Oreochromis niloticus: one gene and its partners. The protein of the gene in region 3 purifies or fractionates together with the protein of the main gene of each other region. This does not show direct contact. Links are inferred from orthologs where the notes say so. Each region holds a gene or a part of one and is shown on either strand. Other genes may lie near its edges.

The links.
Region 1: the proteins of sympk (region 3) and cytoplasmic polyadenylation element-binding protein 1 purify together in Homo sapiens (affinity purification with mass spectrometry; 3 studies listed by BioGRID and IntAct, counting the BioPlex papers as one, with this or other methods). This does not show direct contact. The link is inferred for Oreochromis niloticus from reciprocal best matches to the Homo sapiens genes SYMPK and CPEB1.
Region 2: the proteins of sympk (region 3) and cpsf1 fractionate together in Homo sapiens (co-fractionation; 5 studies listed by BioGRID and IntAct, with this or other methods). This does not show direct contact. The link is inferred for Oreochromis niloticus from reciprocal best matches to the Homo sapiens genes SYMPK and CPSF1.

The regions. Positions count from the first base shown.
Region 1 is NC_031965.2:10,752,785-10,760,890, reverse strand, and holds the start of cytoplasmic polyadenylation element-binding protein 1, read right to left. Parts: upstream 3,307-8,106; 5' UTR 3,160-3,306; coding exon 3,145-3,159; intron 2,922-3,144; coding exon 2,753-2,921; intron 1,055-2,752; exon of another isoform or gene 932-1,054; coding exon of another isoform or gene 901-931; intron 696-900; coding exon 474-695; intron 1-473. Other genes in the region: zinc finger protein 609, read left to right, coding at 5,933-6,170, 6,566-6,635, 7,074-7,083.
Region 2 is NC_031985.2:31,556,779-31,564,570, reverse strand, and holds the start of cpsf1 (cleavage and polyadenylation specificity factor subunit 1), read left to right. Parts: upstream 1-4,330; 5' UTR 4,331-4,496; intron 4,497-4,942; 5' UTR 4,943-4,964; coding exon 4,965-5,108; intron 5,109-5,210; coding exon 5,211-5,238; intron 5,239-5,334; coding exon 5,335-5,468; intron 5,469-5,566; coding exon 5,567-5,647; intron 5,648-5,732; coding exon 5,733-5,884; intron 5,885-7,792. UniProt on the Homo sapiens protein: Component of the cleavage and polyadenylation specificity factor (CPSF) complex that plays a key role in pre-mRNA 3'-end formation, recognizing the AAUAAA signal sequence and interacting with poly(A) polymerase and other factors to bring about cleavage and poly(A) addition.
Region 3 is NC_031987.2:7,110,749-7,118,817, forward strand, and holds the start of sympk (symplekin), read right to left. Parts: upstream 3,137-8,069; 5' UTR 2,952-3,136; intron 2,794-2,951; 5' UTR 2,755-2,793; coding exon 2,686-2,754; intron 2,344-2,685; coding exon 2,278-2,343; intron 711-2,277; coding exon 657-710; intron 569-656; coding exon 495-568; intron 401-494; coding exon 274-400; intron 167-273; coding exon 1-166. Other genes in the region: solute carrier family 35 member F5, read left to right, coding at 7,502-7,636, 7,923-8,069. UniProt on the Homo sapiens protein: Scaffold protein that functions as a component of a multimolecular complex involved in histone mRNA 3'-end processing. Specific component of the tight junction (TJ) plaque, but might not be an exclusively junctional component. May have a house-keeping rule.

The DNA of each region.
Region 1 (8,106 bases), on a different chromosome or scaffold from region 3:
ATGGCAAAACAGCCTCAAACGAGACCTGTCTGAAGAATGTCAAAATTTACACATACTTGGCGTACCTCTGTCACTCAGCTTTGACTTAGGCTGATATGTAGGGTTAGTGCAGTTTTCTGACTGACATCCCTGACTGAAGTTTGATCAACAGGTAACAAATATTTAACTTGACTCTCTATTTAACTTGGGAAAGAAAAGTAGCTTCACTGGCTGTTCGTGTGTTTGCTAGGGATGCAGTAAAGCAAAACTGCCACATCATCCTCCGTAGTGACGCTACAGGCTGTTCCCACACCGACTGCTGTTAATCAACCATCTTATTTTGATATTAATAAGATCTACACAATAAAAAACAACCTTACTATATCCATTCCAATTTTCTCTTCAAAAGTAAGAGCCAGAAAAAACTTTTGGGGAAACTGGTACCTCCAAAACAACAGAATGCTATAACACACAGTTAAAGGTCTGGCACTTACTGGAGGGTGAGCTGGTTTGAACGTGAGATGGGGAGGTGTGTGTATCTGCCTCCTGGCTGCTCCAAGGTTTGTCCCAGCCAGACAGACGGAGAGACTGAAGACCCAGGCCCAGGTCTGTGACACCCGACGGGTCCCTGGACAACGACATCTCCTGAGAGCCAGGCATGGCATCGCAGTTTGGGAAAAGCATCCTCCTGCTGCCCACTGCAGCCAGGTCCGACTCTGCCGAAATCCAGTTCACAGATTAAGCAAGAGCGAAAGGAGATAAGTGTTAGACAGCCATAAAGAACGTTTTCCAACCTCCCATCGGCATCATTATACAGAAAAGATCAAAGCAAGACTTGTCAAAACCCCTTTTGGTAAAGAAACCGCAATAAACTCCCTCAATAAACACATCTCCCCTACCCTGGCTGACGGCGGAGCTAACCTGCTGCCTCTGTGCCTGGTGCAACTGCCATGCATCTCCGTCCGCATCACTGACCCACCTAGCAGCATGTGACATGGCTGCTGATGCACTCGCACACCCCTGCTAATGACATCAGCTTCCCCCACCTCCCCGCTTCCTTGCCTAACAACTGTGTAATGAAAAATTCCTGTTGGAGCTATTGGCTTGTTGATAGAAGTACTCCCCTCTGGTAGGCACAGCACGTCTCCGAGTCAGTGTGAAGACAGCTGCTGCCGTTACTGCTGCTTACTCTGTGTCTAGCCTTGTTTCCCCGAGCAAGCTGACAGAGGCAGGAGGGAGGGGGGGGAGAGAGGGGCAGAGCTACAGAAGCATGGCGGGAGGCAGCATGGGAGCAAATGACTCAGCAGACTTCAACTAAAGTATTGTAGACTTGAGGATGCTCAAGGTATTTCAGTTTCAGACTGGCTTGTGAATTTATTTTAGCACACCAACACTGAACAAACGGGCAAGCAGTGTCTCGCTGTAGCTGAAGCAGCTGACTGATCAGATGTTGAGGACTGAGTGATTTGCACCACCAGCTCCTCCCTTCCCTCTCCAGGCCTGGAAAGCTTCCAGCTGCCAGTTACACCCCTGATTCAGCAAGACTAAGCTGGAGTGGATGGGACAGAGACCAAAGAAGAACTTCAGCTCACTGTGCATCAAGATCCAGCTTACCTTTGCTATGCAACATTTATGCTCTGCTCATGTCAAACTAAGGATTGTATTGTCATCTAAAAATAAGACCAGTAGTCACAAGAGCAGACATGCCTTAAGCAAACTAACTGAAAGAAAGGACTCCAGCACTGAGCTGAGCCAAAATCTTGGCAAATACCTCTCCTGTGGTTTAAAAAAAAAAAAAAGACACTTAGAACTACTGCAATGCTGCAGACCAGCAATGCAGTATGAATCAGCTGCTGGCACCTGAATAAAAAGACAAGGTGAAGGAGGTTCAACAGCTTTAAAAAAGTCAAAGGGGGATTTCCATTATAGGCAATGCAGCCTCTCATCTTACAGAGTACCACATTGGTTTTGCACACTGCATGCATGTTCCTTCATGGTTTTGTGGTTTTAAGGAAAATGCAAACCACAGCAGCAGGAGAAGCTCCCACCGAGGTTAGAGGTCATGTGACCTGCTTTCTAACACTTCACTGTACATGAAACTAAAAGCATCAAAATTCACACAACTGAGAAATACTGGGAGAGATTCAAGCACTTTGGGACTCAAATTGTTGAAGTATTGCTTATGTAATATCCCTCAATACTACTGTACCTGTATTACTAATATAGCCCAATCTTTAGGTTTACTGAAAGAAAATTCTGCTTGAATAGCTAAAACACTTCCTTTTCTAGGATTTGCACAAGGATTTCCTGCTTTGTTATAAATATCATCTCAGGCTGTTTCCTGGTCAAAAACTGCATTTAAGATGAAAACACTGGAAAGGAAACCCATTTGGGAAACTGTAGTCTACAAGATTAAAACATTTTTATCAGACAGTGAAAACAGCTGTTGATACCATCTGGGGCCCAAAATCAAGGCCTTCACGTTTCCCTGACTGCAAGTGACCACAATGAGCACATGATGTGTAGGCAAATAAAGTTAGCAGAAAATGCAGTTTGACTATTAGACCTTAATAAAAGTACTACAGACTTGCGCGGACTTTGCTACGTATTAAGCTATTTGAGCATTTCTAAAACCCTTGCAACCCTCATGGCTACAGCCTCGTTTTAAATAAGTTTAGGCTGCAGTAGTGTCGGATACTAATGGTTTCTCGCCTTTGCACTCAAGCCCACCAATGTTTAACTCTTGCAGAGTGAATGACGAGTGAGGGTTTACCGGACATCAGGTTTGGTTTTCCCTTGGTGTTGGGTGTGGTGCACACACCGGTGAAATCCAGAGCGTTGCCCAGCATAGTGTTCATCCTGCGGAAGATGTCTGCGTTGCTGCAGGTGGACAGTGCCGGAGAATCGGTGTCCGGGCTCTCAGGCCTGCGGGCTTCGTTTCTCTGCAGAAGGAGGCCGTGAGAGGGACACAATTAACCCAGCACTCATGCTAAAAGCTAAAGGTCAAGCTTGTGCACCATGCTGCAAAGTGAATTTTTGTTTGTTTGTTTGTTTTGTTCCGGGGAGGAACTAATGGGCCAAATGAGGCGGTATACGTTCAAATAATAACGTTAGACGTGGCGCAAAACTGACTAATTTCACCCATTTAATGCCGTTTCAACTCACCAGGGAAAACGCCATGATGTGGACAGACAGCCTAAAAGAAATGTCACAACAACGACCGCTGGCTGCAATAAAAGGTCATATTTATGAGGCGTGCTAACAGCTAATTACTCATAATTTAGTGAACGTGTGCCCAGCTAATGACAGTGCTCGAGGGCCTCAGTCCGTTCACGTGCTCCACATCAAAGAGGAGGCCGCTGAAGGGAAAATCACGTGTTACTGTGGCCAACAATTTAAAGAGAGGCTTATTTAAAAATTACAGGGATATTTATCAATATTATAGCAGACAGAATATGTTTTATACGTGCAAACGTGAATTATGTCATTAAAAATAAAATAAAATACGCCAACATATAAAACCACAGTGCTCTCAGTGATTGCTGCGATGGAATCACAGCATATAGGACAAAAATAAAATAATAATTAAAAAATAGTATAGTACTATAATTTCAGATGGATGTGAACTACATTTGTTCTTATAAATTAATGTAAGAATTGTTTGTTTGAACATAACTGAAATATGACTCTTCAGTTCAGAGGCATGCCTTTAAACTTTATTTATCAAGAAAGGCAAGACTTAAAAACAGTTGTGAAGACCTCTAATAATAACCTGACTACTAATAACTACTACAAAAACAAATAAAAACAATGAAATAATTATTAAAAATGTTCATAAAAACACGTTTATACAAATGTTAGACAATATAAAAACAATAACATTCCAGGGTTATTGGAGCTTTACTTTGAAAATATTCAAATTAATTGAAAGGAAACACCTTGTGTGTCTCATTGTTTTCTTAAAAACAGCTTCATATGCTTTATCATTGTGACCCAAGATTCATTAAAGCAGATCTTGTATTCTTTCCTCTGGTATTTTATATCGTGTCGTAATCGGCCTCCAAATGCGGCCTCGGGAGGATGCAGCCTATGAATCCGGACACCGTGACACACCACAAAAAAAAAAAAATTAAACTTGGAGCCGCAGCCTCCCACTCTTTTCCTTTGTATAAATATAACGAATTACCACTTAGGGACTATGCTGCTGTACTCCTATTTATGAGATGACCAACCTCTTGAACTTTGGTAGGGCATATGAACTGATAGCTTTAACATTAAATCACCTGCTTAATATTGTGCTGCAAAACAGCTCGGAGTCATCAGTGGAATTGACATGATATCTCTGGGGTTGTCTTTTGTTTTTTTCTAATCACAAAGGTCCTGTGGGTTGCCTCGGTAGACTGGAGTTGATCCCTGGGGTCTCGTGCAAGCTTGTTCAGCTTGAGATTTGAGATGTTTGGAAGCTGGGTCAGCACCTGGGTCTCCTTGCTGTGTTCCTTGTGTGGTAGATGCATTGTCCTGCTGGGGGAACCCCTGCTGGTGTTGCAATATTTAGGTGGGTGGTTAGTGTCCCCTTAAATTCCAAGACCTGAGGTTTTGTAGCAGAGCGTTTTATTAAAACAAGATGATTCATTTTATACGCTTTACCTGCCAGTGGTTTTAATGCTGTGGCTGGTGGGTTGTCAGTTCATTAAAGAAACTCTGGAGGAAGTCATTTGTTGGCATCTTGTCATTTTCAGTGAAGTGTTGCAGTGTTTATTGACACCTTTTTTCTTTTATAATTCTGGTTCCAGTGTTACATAAGTCTGTAAGAGGTTAAAAAGAGCTCATAATCAGACTCAAAGATTAGTGCAGACCATCACAAAACCCAGTCTGATCTGGAGCAGTTATGGGAATAAAGTGCACTTTCACTAACCTCCACCAGATTTCTGTAACCTTAACAACAACACAGCAACCTTGTACTCTGCACCTGCACGTTGATAATATCAGACATGAGCAAGATGCCAAAAACATTTACTAAAATTGTTCCAAGGTCTTTTGTTTCAGTGGCCCACAGTTGGGCTTTGCTCCTTTACCTCTCCTCAATTGTATCAAGGTCATTTGTAGGTAGCCAAAACTAAAGACAGAAAGAAAGAAAGAAAGAAAGAACATTCTAGTTAAGCTGCTTGTAATAACTTCTATGAACTTGTTAAACCTCTTCTGTGAAAAATACCCATTTTAAGTACAGAAGCTAATTAAAGTACAAGTAAAAGTTCATATGAAATCATAAGTTTGCCTCTGTACACTGTCAAAGTTGCTTTTAAATAAAACAAGATGCAACTGAAATTAAAAAAAATCAGCTTTTATTCAACATGTTCAGCAGAACTGTTCATAATTATTTACACGTATCCTTTTAGAGGCTTGATTTGTACAGTCGACTCACAAGTGGTTTCAAGGCTGTGTTACTGTTATTCTAATGACAAATGAAGTTCTTTTACAAATGCAAACTAAGAATAAAAAAACTGCACTGGCGAGAAAATTTGAAATGGGACCTTTTTCCCTCTTAAAACTAGTTGAATAGAGTTTTATTACCTGCCAGAGAACAGAGTACATTAACATTAAAAATATATGTATATTTCATCGCAAATATGATTAAAAAAAACACACGAAACAGGATCAACTTGTGAACGTGCAGGTTGTGGTTTATAAAGAGGCTTAGGTTATGATCCACTCTGTTGTGCAATGAACAGCAACTGTGTGTTTTTAGATTGAGGGATGCGACAAGTTTATATCGTACAACAATAAGAGAATAACAAAGAGTACACACAGCAGATGACCAAAATAGCATTGTAGGTGACCTGTGAAGGGATTCAAATTGTCCACTTAACTGACTCTGGTTGGCTTTTCTAATAAAATATGCTTTCTGAGACTGTAATCACAGACAAGGAACCACTACTTACTTGCACTTGGATGGATGATATACAGTCAGGTCCATAAATATTGGGACATTGACACAATTCTAACATTTTTGGCTCTATACACCTGTCGCCAGTACAAAAGCAAGTCGCCGTCCATCCAGGACAGCAAGACACATGACCGAGAGTGGGAGAGAGAAAGGGAGGGCGACCGGCCACGCTCCTCGCCCTCGCAGCACATCATGCAGTCCCATCACCACCTGGGATACCCTCTGTACGACCTGTCCTACCCCTCAGGTGAGCCTCGCCTGCTGCCTTTAGATCCTCTTCAGCTCAGGTGTTCTCAGACTGGAGGACAACCTGCTCAGAGTTTAGTGACCACCCACACAGCCATGGCACACAGCTATGGTGATGTCATACATAGACCTGTTTCAGGTATAAATGCAGGTAGATGATGTCGGCCCTGCAGTGTGTTCATACACTCGCTGAAAGCGTTTGTAGAAGAGGAGGACGGGGTAATACCTGGTGCTGAAGGTTACCCCAAACCAAGCTGACCTCTCCTCCCATGATTCATAGCTCGAAAGGGATCCTCTGAGCCCGCCCACTTCACCCCACTGAGCCTGCAGCTGCTTTTAATGAGTGGCGTGTGCGAATCTGCCTGTTTCAGTTCTGACATCTGGTCTTTGTTTCAGGCCTCTCATCCTCCTCCATCGTCGCCAGTCAGCAAGCGTCCGCCCCGTCCTTGTACCCGCCCGCACGGAGGTGAGAACGGTAAGACACACACACACACACACACACACACACACACACACACACACACACAGGAAGTGTTTTAGTTTTTTGTTTTTGCTCTTTCTTGCTACTTTTTTTTTAAACACACCAAAAACTCACAATTAATAAAAAGCAGTTATGCGTGAGTAATGCGCAGGTGCTCATCACATCCGTGAACATGCTTGGACTTCTGTGCTGCTCCTCTCCACCTGTACTTAAATTCACCTGCCCTACTTCAGGTGTCTCAGTGCAGCAGCTTCACCTACTGGTCAGATCAGTGAATCTCAGTGTAAAAAAACAGAGTGTTACTGAACAGGACATGAGCCTCCTCCTCCTCCTCCTCCTCCTCACCTTCTTCTTCTTTGTTTTAATTTCAAACCATTCCCTGGTAAAATCTACTGACCCGTGATCTCCTCTCACTTTCTACAGGCACACCTGATTGGTCAGCCTCTACGCCTCTCCGAGTAATGTGACTGGATCACGTGAAGAAGCATTTCTGTTTCTGTGACATCAGTTCAGTGGTGTTCTGTGTATGTTTGATATGTGTGCCTGGACGTCCAGCCAACTGCTCCGACCCTCGCTGGACCGGATCCTGGTCCCTTTGGGTTTTGCTGGTTCTGGGCGGTCCCGTTGGCCAACAGGTGCTGCTGGGATGCAGGTGGGCAGAGCTCACAGTGACGTACCTGCAGGGACGACTGGGTGACCTCTGACCTCTTTCAGAAGGATGGGCTCAGCTCCGGATGACATCACACCGTTACCTGGATGCGTCTCAGCTTCACGTGAAATAAAGAGAACACTGGATGGAGGAGGGCCGGCCAATCAGAGGGCAGTATTCAGTATGCTTCCTTGTACTGACTGAGTGACAGGCTCCTCCTCCTCAGTGTGTAGCTGTAAACGTGCTCTGTGTGTGTGTGTGTGTGTGTGTGTGTGTGTGTGTGTGTGTAAATATTGTACAGAGGAATTATTTTAAAGAGCCTGTTGGATGATGTTGGATTTCCTACTCTTCTTTTTGTCTGGTAGTCTCTGCCTCTGTTTTTCTACTGTTGTTGATCTGATATTAAACCTGTAGCTGGTGGAGCAGCGCTCGAGCTCAGTGTCCTCATTTATTTCCTGAAAACACCAGAGAGAAGCTGATGTTGTGAAACGTCTTCAGGTCCTGGAATGATGGGAGGCAGGAGGGATTCGTTCAGATTAAAGGGTTCTTTCAAAACAAAAAGCTTGCAGGTTCTGGTTTCATTGTGTAGAATAAAATATTTCCTGGTTTAAAAACTTAAAACAAATGGAGAAATGTGCTTATGGATGTGGATCCATATATTATTCACTTTATTCAGTAATATGTGGCCTCGTTAATAAAGAACTGACCTGCCTAATGTACTGCAAAGCACATGCACATATATTTCAGGATCACTGTAACCTCAGTGGCTTTAAATAAACTTTATTTTGGAGTTTCATATTTTGATTT
Region 2 (7,792 bases), on a different chromosome or scaffold from region 3:
AGCTTTTTAACACAGGAGTGTTAGAGATTTCTCTGCTTTTGAAGCCAGACTCATTTTTGGCCATTAGAGGAATGTTGGCTTCGGTTTTTAGCCCCTGAAGTTGTCTGTGAGGAATATTAGGTGTATTTGTAGTTAGCTCCTCTGTGTGTTTTCAGATTAGCACACAGTCAGAGGTATTATCATTGTGTACCTGCATGCACCATTCTTGAAGCCTGAAATAAACTATTAAAGCATAAAACAAAGTAAAGTGTGTAATAAAGAAAGACATTTTCATGTCAACAGCTGAGTGGGGAGACTTAGGGAAATGTATATAATTCTAACTACTTATTACGTCCACCAAGGTAAACAACATAGCTCGAAAACTTAAGAATGAATTCTGATAAAACTTTGTGGGGGTGTAGAGTGGGATCATGTTAGCAATCTGTTAAAATTAGGCTTATATCCACCAAGGTCTTTAAGGTCAACTTCATGATTTATTAGTCAGAAATAGACTAAAAGCCTTAAAACTTATAAGTTATTATTCTTATAAATGTGGTGTGTATTTTCAACATTGTCACTAGATAAATCCGAAGGTCAAAATGATAATAATGCTGTATAGAGCTATTTAAAACTATGGTTCTTATTGCTGCTGTTTATATTGACAGCATATGGACACGTAGGGAATGATATATGTGGGTACCTAAATATCACGTTACTTTGGACCTCTGACCTTATCTTCAAAGTCAAGAAAGCTCAAACATTTAAACAACAATCTCCTTACCTTTAAAGCTCTGCTTAAAATTGTACTGTTTTTATTTGTGGTACAATTTAAAAAGAACAAAGAAAACAATAAATATATACAAAATAAACTGTAAAATGCCGCCAAAGAGAGCGAGCTGCCTTGGTGGAGGTTTGCACTTCTTGTTAGTTTTTCCACTTGCATCAGTTTTGCAGCTCCCTGTTTATTTTATTAAATAATATGAGTCATTTAAAAAACTGAAATAATGCTTACTAAATAATTTGTTTAACAGAAGATGACTACTCCGTGCTATCAAACTTCCCCGAAGCAACCAAAGTGGATGAGGAATCTGATGAATTCCAGAACGTGGTGAAGCAATTCTACGAGACCATTCAGGAATATCACAGCAAAATCCGAATCATACAGGTGAAACGATGAGCTCTGTCTTTTTTGCAGCAGCTGACTGTGGCTTTAGTGATGACTACAATCATTTTTGTTTTGTTCGCAGGTTGAGAAGCTCATGAACAAGCTGTTGTACAATCAGTACAAGCTGAAGAAGGCCAGCGTACTGCAGCGTGCCACCTACCCGCAGATCGAGCGCATCCTGTACCACGGCACGAGCGAGAGCAGCGTCAAGGAGATATGCGTCCATGGCTTCAACAGAAGCTTCTGTGGAAAGAATGGTACGCTTTTCATGCTGGCTTTCTTTGTCTTGTTTACATCGGGTTTTGTCACATCTTCTGATGCTCTGTTTTTTTCCACGCAGCCACCGTCTACGGTCAGGGGGTCTATTTTGCTGTGAACTCGGCTCTATCTGTCCAGGATCAGTATTCCCCCCCAAACGCGGATGGATACAAGTTTATTTTTGTGTCCAAAGTTCTAACGGGAGACTACACCAAAGGTTGCCATTCGATGAAGACGGCCCCGCTGAAGGAGACGGGAGATATCCCCCTCAGATACGACAGCGTGACTGATAACATTACCAAGCCGTCGATGTTTGTCATTTTCAACGACACACAAGCTTTTCCAGAATATCTCATCACATGCCAGAGAATCCACCGCTGAGGAGAATGGATTAGACGCCGGCGATGACATTTGGAGAGAGCAGACTGCTGATGCTTTAATGTTTCTGCCTTCAGTTTAAAAAAGCGATTTTGGTTTATAAAGGGCTAAGGTGTAATGATTTGATCAGCCGTGATCAAACCGATGAAGTGCTTCTCTGTTGATCGTTTCCCCTCTTTGATTTCCTCACTACGTTGTAATGTCATTAAAAAGAATCAAGCGACTGAACCCAAGAAGCCAGTTTTCATTCAGTAACTTTAAACATGCCCTTTCAGCACATTTACAGCTCATTGTGCCGCGGCTTTACATAGACAGCACTTATTGCATGACATTTGACTTGTAATAGTCAATTTGGTACTCACTGGCATCACTCCCACACTCCAGTTAATATTAGCCTGTCTTTTCCTCTGTTAATGTCATTGTATTCCTATAAGTGGAAGACAACTTTTTGATTAGTAGCCTGCTGACAGTACTACATGCACTCCTGTCTGCCTGCTTCCATCAGTAAGAGGTTATTGTGAATGAGCCAGATCTGATAGTACAAGAATATGACCCCTATTTAGTTTTACGTTTCGGTTAAGTTATTTGAGTTTCTCCCTAAAGTTTTTTTTTTCTTTCTTTTGGCTATGCAAGAATAAAACTTAAGTGTGGTTAAAATAAGAACAAAAAAAGTAGAGGTGTGTAGTCCACTGCTCTTCACGTACAGGTGGGCGTGAGTTGAAAACACTTGAACACAAATTAAAGATAATTCTGTCTTGTTTTGAGTCTCGTGATCTCTGTTCTGTCTTAAAAATTTAAAGCCTTATATCCATCACAGCTGTTGCACACGTCACAGACTGTGTATTGTTGTTTTTCTGAACCAAAATGATCTGCGAGCTCCAGTATGTGTTGCACAACGTGATAGTTCTTGATTGTCTTCTCACTAGTTCTGCTGATCCTTGTTTAATGAAGTGAGCACAGACAGCCTGATTTTAATTACAGTGCCTTCATTTTTCCAAGTGCTCTCATCACAAGTCCATCCATTCATCCATTCTCTTCTGCTTATCCTTCTTATCTGATCACAAGTCTTGGATTTTAATTAAGTCCTGGAAAGTTTGGGCCTTGGGTTTTTGCTGTGTTTAATTTAGATTGTCTTACAGTTACTACAAAAGTCTTTTGTTTTTAGCATCATGTTTGTTGTTTTTAATGAAGAATATTTCGTTTTAAGAGAGCTCCACTTCATTTATACGAAAAATAAAACTTTAAATGAGAAACCGTTTGATGGTCGTTTTACCCTATTTGTAGATCTTAGACCACTGTTGACCTATAACAAACACATCTGTAGTATCTGCACACATGTTGTCCAGTATGTGCTGATCTTATAACTTTACATGAAACATGAATGAAAAAGATGCTAAATGTATTTTGGAGATGGGTGTCGTAGCACACCTGTAACAGCAGTTCTGTAACAGCACAGCTGAGGATAAAGTTGGGTGGAGTCTGGCGATATTTATAAAAAAAAAAAAAAAGTTGCTTAAATGAGTGTTTACAGTATAATTCAAATCATTGAATTTAGGTCTTCCATGGCCACAGGTGTATAAAATCAAGCACCTAGACATGCACACTGCTTTGATTTGTGAAGGAATGGGTCCATTTCAGGAGCTCAGTGAATACCAGCATGGTACCGTCATAGGATGCCACCTGTGCAACCAGTCCAGTCTTGATATTTTCTCACTACTAAATATTCCACGGTTAGCTGTTAGTGGTATTAAAGCAAAGTGGAAGCGATTGGAAATGACAGTAGTTCAGCCTAAACTCAGCAACTTATAAACCCCGTGAAAAGCCTTCCCAGAAGACTTGAAGCTCTTATAGCTGCAAATTGTGGGCAGACCGATCATATTAAACTCTATGGATTAAGGGATACCACTCAAGTTCATGTGTTTGTAAAGGTAGACAAGCGAATACTTTTGGTAATATTTATTTTTATTTATTTATATATTTCCCTTTGTTTCCTTATATATTTTCTCATTAAGGTTTCAGCACACAATATCAACAAATCCTCATTATGTGATGTACCTCTAACACATGTGGGATCTACACATTCATCCACAAAACCTATTTTAACAAATGACTCACTTGGCGCACTCTGCTGGGATAAACCTGGCTTAATAAGTAAGAAATGTTTTCGAAGCTGTCTTTCACTGACAAGTGTGCACAAATGCTGTACACAAAATTGAGTAAGATAAATATGGAAAATTAAATGCCATTAAAATCTCATTAAAAAAAAATCAAATACAGAACACATTACAATCAGTAAAAGAATCAACAAAAAGCCTGATTAAACAAAAAAGATTTTAGCTATTTTTAAAGAGTCCACAGAGTCAGCTAAATAAATGTAATTGTAGTGGGACATTGTTACAAAGCCTTGGCGCCACAGACTGATAAGCTCTGCCCCCCTTTCACTTCATTTTTTTAAATATCTGTACACACACAAAATAACTCTGAGACAGCAGCTGCTATCAAAATGCTAAATATAGGTGGCGCTAATGTGCCTTGGAGTGGTTGGCTAAAAAAAAAAAAAAACACGAAGAAGAAGACCAACGCAGCCACAACAACGACAGCTAACCTTGCTATCGGTTAGCTAGCTTAAGTTGGTATCACACAAAATATGTCACGCTCACTGTGAACAAGGGAGGAAACAATAAAGCTGCAAACTCAGATAACGTGACGGACATAGGTACGTCCACGCGTTACATTCACTGCTTGTGAAAACATTTGAAAAATTGTAGCCTGTTACTATGCCATGCCAGCTACAAATGGGAACGTTAGCGTGCTGCTAAGGCAGCTAACTTAACCGGCTTTTCCCATACATTTGCTATTCGAAGCTAACTAAAATGAAGCTGAGACTAACAACACGAGTGGATATCGCTGGTTAAGTTAAACCAGTTATCAGAATAAATTCTAATAATTGATACACACAGACAAAATGTAGCGCTGGCATAAGCTAGCTAGCATTTGATCGTTTTGAAGCCTATTTAAGTGTACACTGACGTAATTTATAAAACGGCGCTCGGATTGTCTGTGCAGTTTTTGTTTAACGCAGATACACGCATACCTGTGTACCGATTGTTTTAGTGGTGAGGTGATGTCAGAGGTCTTGACGTGAGTGTTTTCACCTGTTAGATGCTGAGGGCAGCCTGCCACCATGTATGCCGTGTACAGACAAGCCCACACACCGACCTCAGTGGAGTTTTCTGTCTACTGCAACTTTATATCCAGTAAGGAGAAGAACCTGGTCGTAGCTGGAACATCTCAACTGTTTGTTTACAGGATCATTCATGATGTGGAGGTAACTTTAAATCTAAGGTTCACCTGTTTTTTTGTGCCTTTTTTTTTTAAAACACAAGCATAAAAGGGCTTTTTGATATATGCCACATTTGTCCTATTTCAGAGTACTTCAAAGGCTGACAAGTCATCTGGTATGTCAAAGAAAGCATCTCATTCAAATACACATTCTACTGTTGGTAAAAAATGTTTTTGGTTTTTTTTGCTGAGTCTCGACTTTTCTTGCGCAGATTCCAAATCTCGTAAAGAGAAGCTGGAGCAGGTGGCTTCCTTTTCTCTCTTTGGGAACATCATGTCTATGGCTAGTGTACAACTTGTTGGAGCCAGCAGAGATGCACTCCTTTTGAGTTTCAAAGATGCAAAGGTATTATAGAGCAAGCAGTGTGCTGCTTAAATAAACCATGCTTTTAACCCCTAGAATTGTTTCTCAGTGACCCTTGCCTGTGTTTTGTCTCTCACCAGCTGTCTGTGGTAGAGTATGATCCTGGGACACATGACCTCAAGACACTGTCTCTTCATTACTTTGAGGAGCCAGAGCTCAGAGTATGTAGCAACAAAAATAAACCTGAGTTTATGTTCATGTGTAAAAGTGACTCAACTGTGAATATAACTGTTCTTGTATTTTCAGGATGGCTTTGTACAGAATGTACATATTCCCGTTGTGCGTGTAGATCCAGAGAATCGCTGTGCTGTAATGCTCGTTTATGGCACCAAACTCGTGGTGCTGCCATTCCGAAAGGACACGCTAACGGATGAACAAGAGAGCGGTGTTGGAGAAGGGTAAGTTATACATCTAATTATTAAAGTTGATTTGTTACGCTCAGTTCCAGCTCAGTTGTTTTGATTTTTTTTACTCTACTAGAGTAGCTTTGCATGATTCAGTTAAAAAAAGGGCACCTTCCTTTTAAGCTAACTTTCCTTATCAGCCTTTTAACTTTTCATTCACAGGTATAGCTTGTACTTAAGTTCATTATTCTAGACTGACTGCTAAATACAATGCATCTAGTACTATAACAGTATTCTTGTGCCTCTCAAAAAGCTTTTTTTCATAATAATATTTAAATAAAAAAGTCACCATTTATGTATTCTATGTTCATTACAGTGAAGTGAATTATTTAAAGCCTTTTTTGTTTTATGGCGTATAACTCCAATAAATCGAGTATCTGAAATCATTAGATTATTTGCTAAGATCAATCAAAAGACAGAAATGAAACTTCTGAGAAGCATGTCCATTTGTACACTCAGTGCATGGCCTTTATCACAAATTCCTGCATAAGTGCGGGGCAGCATAGAGGTGATCAAAGCCCAGGCTGCTTTCACATTGACCTTCAGCTTGCCTCCATTTTTAGTATTTCTCAACTGATAAAATCCATAAATTCTCCATGAAATTCAGTTTGGCTGAGCTTGCCAATTAAGGGCAGTAACTTTGTCTGCAAACTACTCAGCCAAAGGTTTGGCACTGTGGGTGGGTCCTACTGGAAAAGGATCAGCATCTCCATAAAGCTTGTCAGCAGGTGGAAAGTTGAAGTGCATTAAAATCTGCGGGTAGACAGTTACGTTGACACTGGACTTGATAAAACACAGCGGACCAACAGCCAAGAACACTGGCAGGTCACATGGCACCCCAAATTGTCACAACTGTGGAAATGTCACACTGGGCTTGACACACCTTGGATTCTGTGCCTCTGCACTCTTCCTCCTGACTCTAGAAGTTTGATTTCCAAATGAAAGGGAAATTTTACTTTCACCTGAGAAGAGGACAGTTGGACCAATGAGCAACAGTGCAGTTACTTACAACGTAACATGACTACAACTAACCACACATCAGGTGGACACAGCCCACAGTTACTGTGATTAGCTGTTCACGGCTGTCCATCCCTTCTTTGCAGTTTCAGCTACTTTCTCACAACTGTTAGCAAACATTGTACAAGAGTCAATAATCATAAATGAGTAAGATAAAACAAACTGTTAAAAATAACCATAAAAATCACAACATCAATATAAGGAGTCACAATCAGCAGATTCCTGGAGAGAAATTGTACAAAGAAGTGGAAAAACTTTAAGGACAAATATTTTTGCCTCTGGAAAAAAACTAAACTAACCACAACAGAGAGCGAAGACTTTGTATTTATTTCTATCATGACTGCACTGTAAATAAAACACCTGGACACGACCACATGATAATTAACAGTTAATGCACCAGCACGCAACCAGAAATAAGGGCAGAGACATCAGCCTCTTATGTTACGTAGTCAGCTCCTCAAACAGTGCAGAAGTCTAGCCCAGGTTAGCTGTTTCTAACGTCTTGGGTTCAGGAAGGCACTTGTGGCCCATTTCCTGAAGATGTCTGTGCGCAGCAGCTCTTGATGCTCTGACGCCAGCCTCAGGCCACTCCTCTCCCAAGTTCCTGAATCAGCTCATGACAGTCCTCTTGAGGCTCCGCTCATTCCTGATTCCCCCTCCCAGCCGACTTTTAGGGAATAGGCTTTGATACAGCGCTCTGAGAACAGCCAGCCTTTTCAGCAATGACACTCCTTCTCTGGAGGGTTTGTGGTTTTGTGTGAACTAGTATGGGATGCACTGTATTCATAGTATTTGAGTAGTAATTTAAATGAAATGGTTTGAATAATTTGAGATGATGTATTTCAGATTTTGATGAACTACAAGTCGTGATCATGAAACTTATAA
Region 3 (8,069 bases):
TCCGCGGTGAAAGAGTGATGATTAAAGATTCGGTAAACTTGATGGCATGAGTGCGAACGCCGTCGTTCTCAGAGTCCAGCAAGGCCAGAACATCCCCTTTCATCTGCGTGACGAGATCCCAGCACGCCTCCTGCATTTCTGACACAGCTTTGGAGCGCACCAACCACTGAGACGAGAAAAGATAAAGGAAGTGAAGACGAAGTGAAGAACAGAAACGGATCGCATAAAGAAAGAAAAGGTAGAAATGAAGCCGGTATATCTGACTCTTTGTACCTGAAGTGTGACTTTGTACAGCTGGGTGAGGGTGAGGATGGCTTTCTTCACCACATTCACACTTTCATCCTTCAGCAACATGTTCAGGTTGGCGATGAGTCTGAGGAGGAGCTCGTTGTCTCTTTTACTGAAAGCAGATAATAAAACAGTAAAAAAATCTCAAATGCTGACCCTGACTTAAAAAACAAACAAACAAAACAACAGCAGGTCTGAAAACTCACCATGCCTCCTCGATGAAGCCGATCACAAACTTTTTCACTTCGATGGACTTGTCTGTCTGGAAAGCGATTATCTCCTACAGGACAAAAAAAAAAGTAACAAAAATGAGGCAAATTTAAATGAAACTATAGCTGGTTATGAGAGCCGAATACTTGCTTACTTACATCCAAAAAATTGTCGAGAAGAGATGGATCCTTGTTGATGATGAGTTCCTGGACCTGAAGGTTAAATACATGTACTGAATCAATGTTCTTGTGCATTCCTGGGTAAGTGGATTAGACACCAGTCTACACGGTTGCACTGAGATCTTCTGATCATTTCCAACTCTATATTGGACTCGGCTAGACTAGCTTTGCACAATTCACAGTTAAAATAATCCTTTTTTGTCTTATACTCAATCCATTGTGCAGCCCCTAAGTTCCTCCTCTCTCTGAAGCTGAAGTTGTTTTAGCCCCTCCCCCTTTAAGTCAGTTTTCTTCTGATTGGCTGCCCCTCATAAATAGACTATCTCAGCTGCAGATATGGGTGAGACTTCAACACCATGCTCTGGCACCTTAGTAGTGTATAGTTAAACTTGTTTACAGTGAAATAAACAGGAACATTTTTTTCATGTAGGTTGCAGGACAATAGTTTTACTGGTCTGGTACTCTTAAAAACAAACTGGGCTCTAAAACAAGTTTGACACTCCTGGTTTATAGCCGTCTGAAGCCTTCTGGCTCACAGGGATTACCTGCACATACACAACCTCATTAGTGGAAATTTTGTACATGTTTAATATGAATATCCATTGCTGGAAAACATGTATGGGACAGAAAATCAGGAAATCCAGAATGGCTCCACTTTAGAGTTTATAATCATATATGTTTAGCAAAAATATCACACATGTGACTTTCTGCCAGCAGCCTCGTGTAGGTTAAAAAAAAGCTTTTTGATGGTAGATCCAAAAAGATATGCTGACAGTAAAAAGTTTGTTTAAGCCTGCAAGTCCAAGTCATCATCTACAATAACTCAAACTGCCTTCAGCTGCACCTTTTAGGGATCCTCCAGCTCATCCTATTCCTGCATCCTACTCTGTCACATCTCTTTACAACATCCTACCTGTACATTTACCTGTACCTTTTAGGATCGTTTTAAAAGTTCTTTTATTTGTTTCTAAATATCTTAATGGCCTGGCCCCTCCTACCTCTTGGAGCTACTACAACCATATACACCTGCCCATTCCCTTAGGTCCGCCAATCAGCACCTCCTTAAGGTACCAAAAACTAAGTATAAATTTAGAGGTGATTGTGCTTTTGCTGTAGCGGCTGCAAAGTTGTGGAAGGATCTGCCCTTGCACGTTGGGCAGGCCTCTTCTCTTTCTGAGTTTAAAACTCTTCTTAAAACACATTTATTTGCTGAAGCTTTTGGCAATCTTTAAGGGGTTGACTCAATTTGTTTTAACATGTTTTATTTTATTTTATTTATTTTATCTTATTTTATTTTACTTATGCTATTTGGCATTTTTTCTCCTGCCTGGCAGCTCCATCTTCAACATCTTTTGTCCTGTATATCCACTATTGTTCCTCTGCAAATGTCCAAATCATTTCAGCCTTGCTTCTATTTGTCTCCAAACTGATTAACCTGAGCTGTCCCTCTCTCTGACGAACTCATTTCTAACCTTGTCCTTTCTGGTCACTCCCAGTGACAATCTGAGCATCTTTCGATTCTCCACCTTTCTCCACAGCCTGTGGTTAGGGTTGTGCTCAGTCTTTTGTATCACAGAGTTAAAAAGTCTAAGCTACAAACCTGTTTGAGCACATTCAGCTTCTCATCTGTGGGTATCAGAGCAGCCTGATTCAGGAGCTCCACAACCTGGAAGGAGAAAGCAGACCCCCATTACATTACAGTTGATTTAATAAAGGCACAGCTGAGAGATTTTCTAATTTAATATGTTGGTATTTGTGGCTCATCTGGCTGCTCAACACTAGGACAAACCTACTGTATATGTACTTGTTGCTGCAGGTTTCAGCAAGGTAAATGTAAGACTTTTAAAGCCGTTTTTGTAAAAAGCTTTTCTGGCAAAAAAGTGGTCTATTGCCGTTGAAAATGGTCGCCATTTTTATAATCCCAACTATTGTGATTTCATCCAGTTTTTAAAGCATAAAACCCATAAATCTTCCCCTAAAATGTTTATCAGCGATCACAAAAACGGACCTTCTCGCTGGTGGTCATATCGATGACAGCGGGGGCCTCAGAGTCCCCCTCCTGTGAAGAGAAGTCCATGTTTTGGCCCTCACACTGGTGATAACATGCTCCAAAGATCTGTAAACACACGAATAATAAGGATGTTATCTGTGTTATTATACCAGAGTGCTACACGCTGTTTATTAGCCTTTAATAAGACGCTCCTGTTAGCCTTGTGCTAACGGCGGGAGCTGCTTTAACTCCTTTATGCAAACAAATGTGCAAAAGCTACTTACCGTTTAACCCTGTCTTTAATTTGTTCTTCCAACAACAATTAAATATCCCGAGTGTCAAGAACTTATAATCGCAGGAGGCGTCTTAAACTAAAGCACTAAAACTCTTCTAGCTCATAATGGACGCAGCCATGTTTGACCGAAAGAAGCGGCGTCAAACTTCTTCTTCGACTGTTGTGAATAAGCACGAGCAGAAATAACAGCGGCCACTAAAGGAGACATCTGCGCCACTACAACAACAACAGAAACCTGCTGTTCAGATAAAATTTGCATTGAAGGACTCAAAGATTCAAGGATTCAAGGATTCAAGGATTTTCATTTACGACACATTTACACAGATGAGATGAATCGGAATTAAAAGCCAACAAGAATGAGAACACAAACAAGAAACACAAACAAGAAACAAAAAAATATTTACAACGTAATTCAATATAAATAAGACAATATTAAGTATAATATAGCTGTATGTATAAATTAGTAAGAAGTATGTATAATGATTGTATTTGTATAGTGCAATGACACAAATGGTTTCTCGCGTTTGTAACCTGTGGCTGAGCAGCAGAGACTACGGAGCACCACCAGAGCTTTGTAGTCCAAATCAGCTAAAAACTAATTAAAATATTGCTTTTAAAATATTAACTAGTAACAATATTGTGATAAAAGCAAAAGTATAATGAAATTAAAGTACAAAGCAAATTACTTTTTATGGATAAAAATTACAAACTGTAAGGGAATCACTCAATAGACTTCAGATAATACTAAAACATTACTGACCCATATAAAATCAAAGAAAATGAGCAAAACGTCTTTGAAGCTCCTATTCTTTATTTGTGTTTGTAAATGATGTGTTCTCCACAGCCTGAGGTAAAATTGAATTAATTTGCTCAATTTAATTTCCAAAAAGTCATTTTCAAAGGTGAAAACACCAAGAAAATGTATGAGTTTATAAATGAAAAAACAAACATTTTCCCCCTTAAGACTTCATACCCCAGAATGCCTTGCACTGTAAGTGATGTCACCTGACAGGAGGCTGAGCTAATGTTTACAACCGCTGGGCTGGTGACACTTTTATCGCTAAAAACTGTGATTTTTGTCAGGATTTCCGGAGCGTATGGGATGATGCTTAAATAATGGCGCAAACTAAATGACGCACTCTCACATTCGGGTAAAAATATCTTATTTTACTATTGTTTCTTTTTCATTTTTCAATCAAGCCAGTTAGCGCTTAGAATGCTAATAGGTAAACAAGCAGCTAAACGCAGCACACCTGCGACGGCGGTACACTGAGTAAGTGGACTTCAGCCTGAGCTGTGGGCAATGAACTGGAGTAGATGTCACGATAAGTTATAAAGTAAAGCGTCGGGACACCTGTCGACCTCCAGACTGTCAGAATTTAACAGGTAATAAATTAGCTAGCTTAAAAGCCGTGAGTGCCTAGCTTTGAGGAGGTCGTGTTTTCAGCAGCTTACCTGTTCGTACCTTAAAGAGTTACTGCAACGCTCTCTGGATGTACTGCGCGTAGCTAGCTGGAAGATAGTTGGATTTAAAGCTCGGGTAAGTGAAGGTGTACGCATGTCTTTCATTAGTAGTCGTTTAAAAGTTTTCTGAAGTGTGTTTTTTAAGTTCGGGACATGCCTTTTGACAGTTTAAAACCAAGCAGAACAAATTGTATTTACAAATAGTCTCCTACTATCTGAAAATGGAGCCACGAGCACCATTTTACCGAAATCTATCCCTCCGTTTGGTGTTTCGATGGCAGTAAAAAGTTCTGTTATAACATATGGTTCGCCTCGTTTCAACACAGGGTGGATTTTATTGATCCTATATGTGGTGAAATTCACATATGGTGGACAACAACAGGTAGAATATTAAACAAAGTCTGTGTAGGTTCTCAGTAATCTTAAATCTATCTGTTCAGTAAAGGAGACCATCACAAAGTAGCGTTGGTGGCCTGTCCACCAGCTACCTTTAAAGCAAGAGATTCTTCATTCACAACTTGTCCAGTGTGACCTAATGAGTCTCATAAAGTCAGGATGGGTCAACAACGTCCTCCAAGGTGACAGCCCCTCTAGTGGGTAAATACACAGGCCTTCCTCTCAGCTCTCTGAACTTAAGTTGCCTCTCAGATGAGACTTAAAGTGTCTTCAGAAACTTAAGTCAAGTTTCCTTCAATTTGATCACTTCAGGTTAATCAAAGTAGAGTTGCTCAGTAAAAAGAATAGAATATGTGAAAGAAAATAACTCTGAGGTCAAAATTAGTAGTTAGATCAGAAAAAGTGTTGCTAGTAAGGCTTGAGTTAGATATCTGCAGGGAGTGTTTGTAGCACCTATGATGTAACCTGTGTAATTGGCCAACGTCATTGTCGGCATTTGTGCTTGTACCAGTGGATTACGTGTTAATTACCATGTGGTCGTGTCCTGGTGTTGTACATGTCCTGCTGGTCGATAGGAACAAACAAAATGCTGGGATCTTTTTCTTTTCTGGGTCCAGCTCTTTGTTGTGGACAGGTTTTTTTTTTTTCTTTTTTTTTTTCTTCAGGCTAAATATATGTCCTTCAAGTTTTTCCAACTCTTTGAACATTCCCTGATATCTTCCAGTAGATTGAGCAGTCTCCCTCCAGGAATTTGCTGAGATTTGCGAGTCCTTATATTGATACTATGATTATTAGTCTTTATATTGAGACAATGATTGTTAAGTGGCTGGAAATGCACAAGAGTAATCAATGGCTCTGGACAGGCCGATCACAGTAGTTGTGTACTGCATTGACCTGATGTGTAGTTGCGTTTCTAAGAAGGTGCACCTCGGGTTACGTGGTAGGTTAAAAAGAGAGTTTCAGAGACAACAAATAAGTAAACTTAGATCAACTACATCTCTAACCTCAGACTAAAACACACTCACAGCAACAACAAAAACAATCAAAGAAGTAATGAAAAGTAAAGCTTGAAAAGTAAAGCATGAAAGTAAAGCTTTCATGTCACATACAGCTGCAGGTGAACTCTAAGTATTTAAGTTACAGTCTGCTGGACAACACTTCCACAGTTTAACTCCAAAGTTTAACGGATACACCGCAACATTTCATATTTTTCAAAAATTTAATTTTCTCTTAATTTGTATTTGTTATCCCTCATTTTAAAAGTGGGTAGTCGGCTGGTATTTGTCTGTCGTATGATTTGTTTCCCCACACCACCACTCAGTAACCCACATATGGAACAATAAGTAAATAATATAAACTAAGAATAATGATATTTCACAAAGTCTTTAAATTAGAAAAAAGTTAAGCATTTTAATTTTGACATGATTACTGTAAAGTAAGATGACTGCATGTTAGCACAAAGACAGTAGTGAATTGTTAAAGCTCAGTGTCTGCAGACCCCTCACAAACACCCAAAGCTCAGTGTTCTGGAGTTAACAGAGGCAGCGATGAGCATTCAGATCTGCAGCCTTTATTTCCACCGCAGCATTTTTCTGTGAGGTGTTCTTTGGGCTGGTTAACGCAACGCTCACATCCTCATCAGGAAGAGGATTTGTGTCAGAGTGCGTGGGACTGTAGCCTCAGGTTTATATTTTCCTTTTCTTCACACAGATCCATGGTCTGCTCTCTGTGCAGCGTTTAACTCTTTACCCTTTGAAAGTTGACTAGAAGCAACCCTTAAAGCTCTTTTCTGAACTGATTGGTTTGTGTCATATTTCAGACTTGCTTACAGAACAAAATAACTGGGTTTGAATCAAAAGTTAGTGAGGCTGGTCTCTGCCTGTGCAGCTACACAAACTATTCTGATGGTCGTCAAACCTCGTCTTTATTTAAATACACTCACTTGTCAAACTCATCATTAAGGGAACAGAGGTCATCAAATATAGGGGATAGAGTTAAATGTGTACTCATGGACATTTGTTGTTTTTCCTTTAATTTGTCATTCGGTGTAGATATACTTTTAAAAAACAGCACAGTAGAGTAACTCTCCTGGCTTCTAATTTTTTTTAATTTTTTTTTATTTTTTATTTTTTTTGCAGGTGTTTAACTGCGAGTCTCAACTTAAACTGGCTGAAACAAAGAATCTGAGCTGACCTTCAAAGAGACTGGCTAAAATTCAGTTTACGTATTGGCGGCGACCAGGTGGGTGTTGAAGTGGTAAAAATATAACATTACTCCTTTAAACATTTGACTGCAGGCAAACTTACAGACACTAACACACTTATTGTTTGGACGAAAGTTTTCTGAAGGTTTATTTATGTCTTGCATTGTCTGTCTAACTTCCACTTCCAGATTAAAAACCTCCACACTAGATTAGCCATGTTCAAAATTCAGGTTTTGGTTGATAGAGTGAAGTATTTCTTGGTGTGGTTTCATAACTTTTTAGATGTTTTTAGTGATTAAAATGTTGAATAGCAGCTTTTAAAACGGGTTTAGAACAGGTTCATCAGCTTTGAAGCCGAAAAAAAACTAAGGTAAATAGTTGGGAAGTATATAGTTGGTCAACCTCGGAGCTCACTGCCTGTCTTCTGATGTCGTCATCAGCGAGGCAGTTTCTGAATTTCCCCTCTCACCGTCCCGATGGAGTGGGTGTTCATCATGAACCGGATGAGCTCTCAGGGTAGCTCTGCAGCCCAGCGGAGACGGATGGCTCTGGGGGTGGTGATACTCCTGCTGGTGGATGTCATCTGGGTTGCCTCCTCCGAGCTGACCTCGGTAAGTCTGATCTCCACGCTTGTGATGTTGGAGCCAAACACTGAAAAGGCTTAATAAAACGGTGACCATGTTTAATGTGACCCATCCACCACAGAAAGCAGAAAAAGATAAAGCAGAATAGGCCCACTTTAAAACGAAGCGCAGATACAGCAGATAGTGCTGGACTAACTTTACCTGATCGTGATGCTCTTCCTTCACATCTCATAAGGAAAAACTGCAGTTAAATATATTTAAACTGTGAGTTTCAACCTTTGAAATGAAGTTTTTGAAACAACTCCTCCTGCAGTACATTTTCAAGCGACAGGACTACAACAAGCCCTTCTTCAGCACCTTTGCCAAGACATCCATGTTTGTGCTGTACCTGCTGGGTTTCCTGCTGTGGCGGCCATGGAGGCAGCAGTGCACGGGCACCCTGAAACGCCGCCGCTCCGCC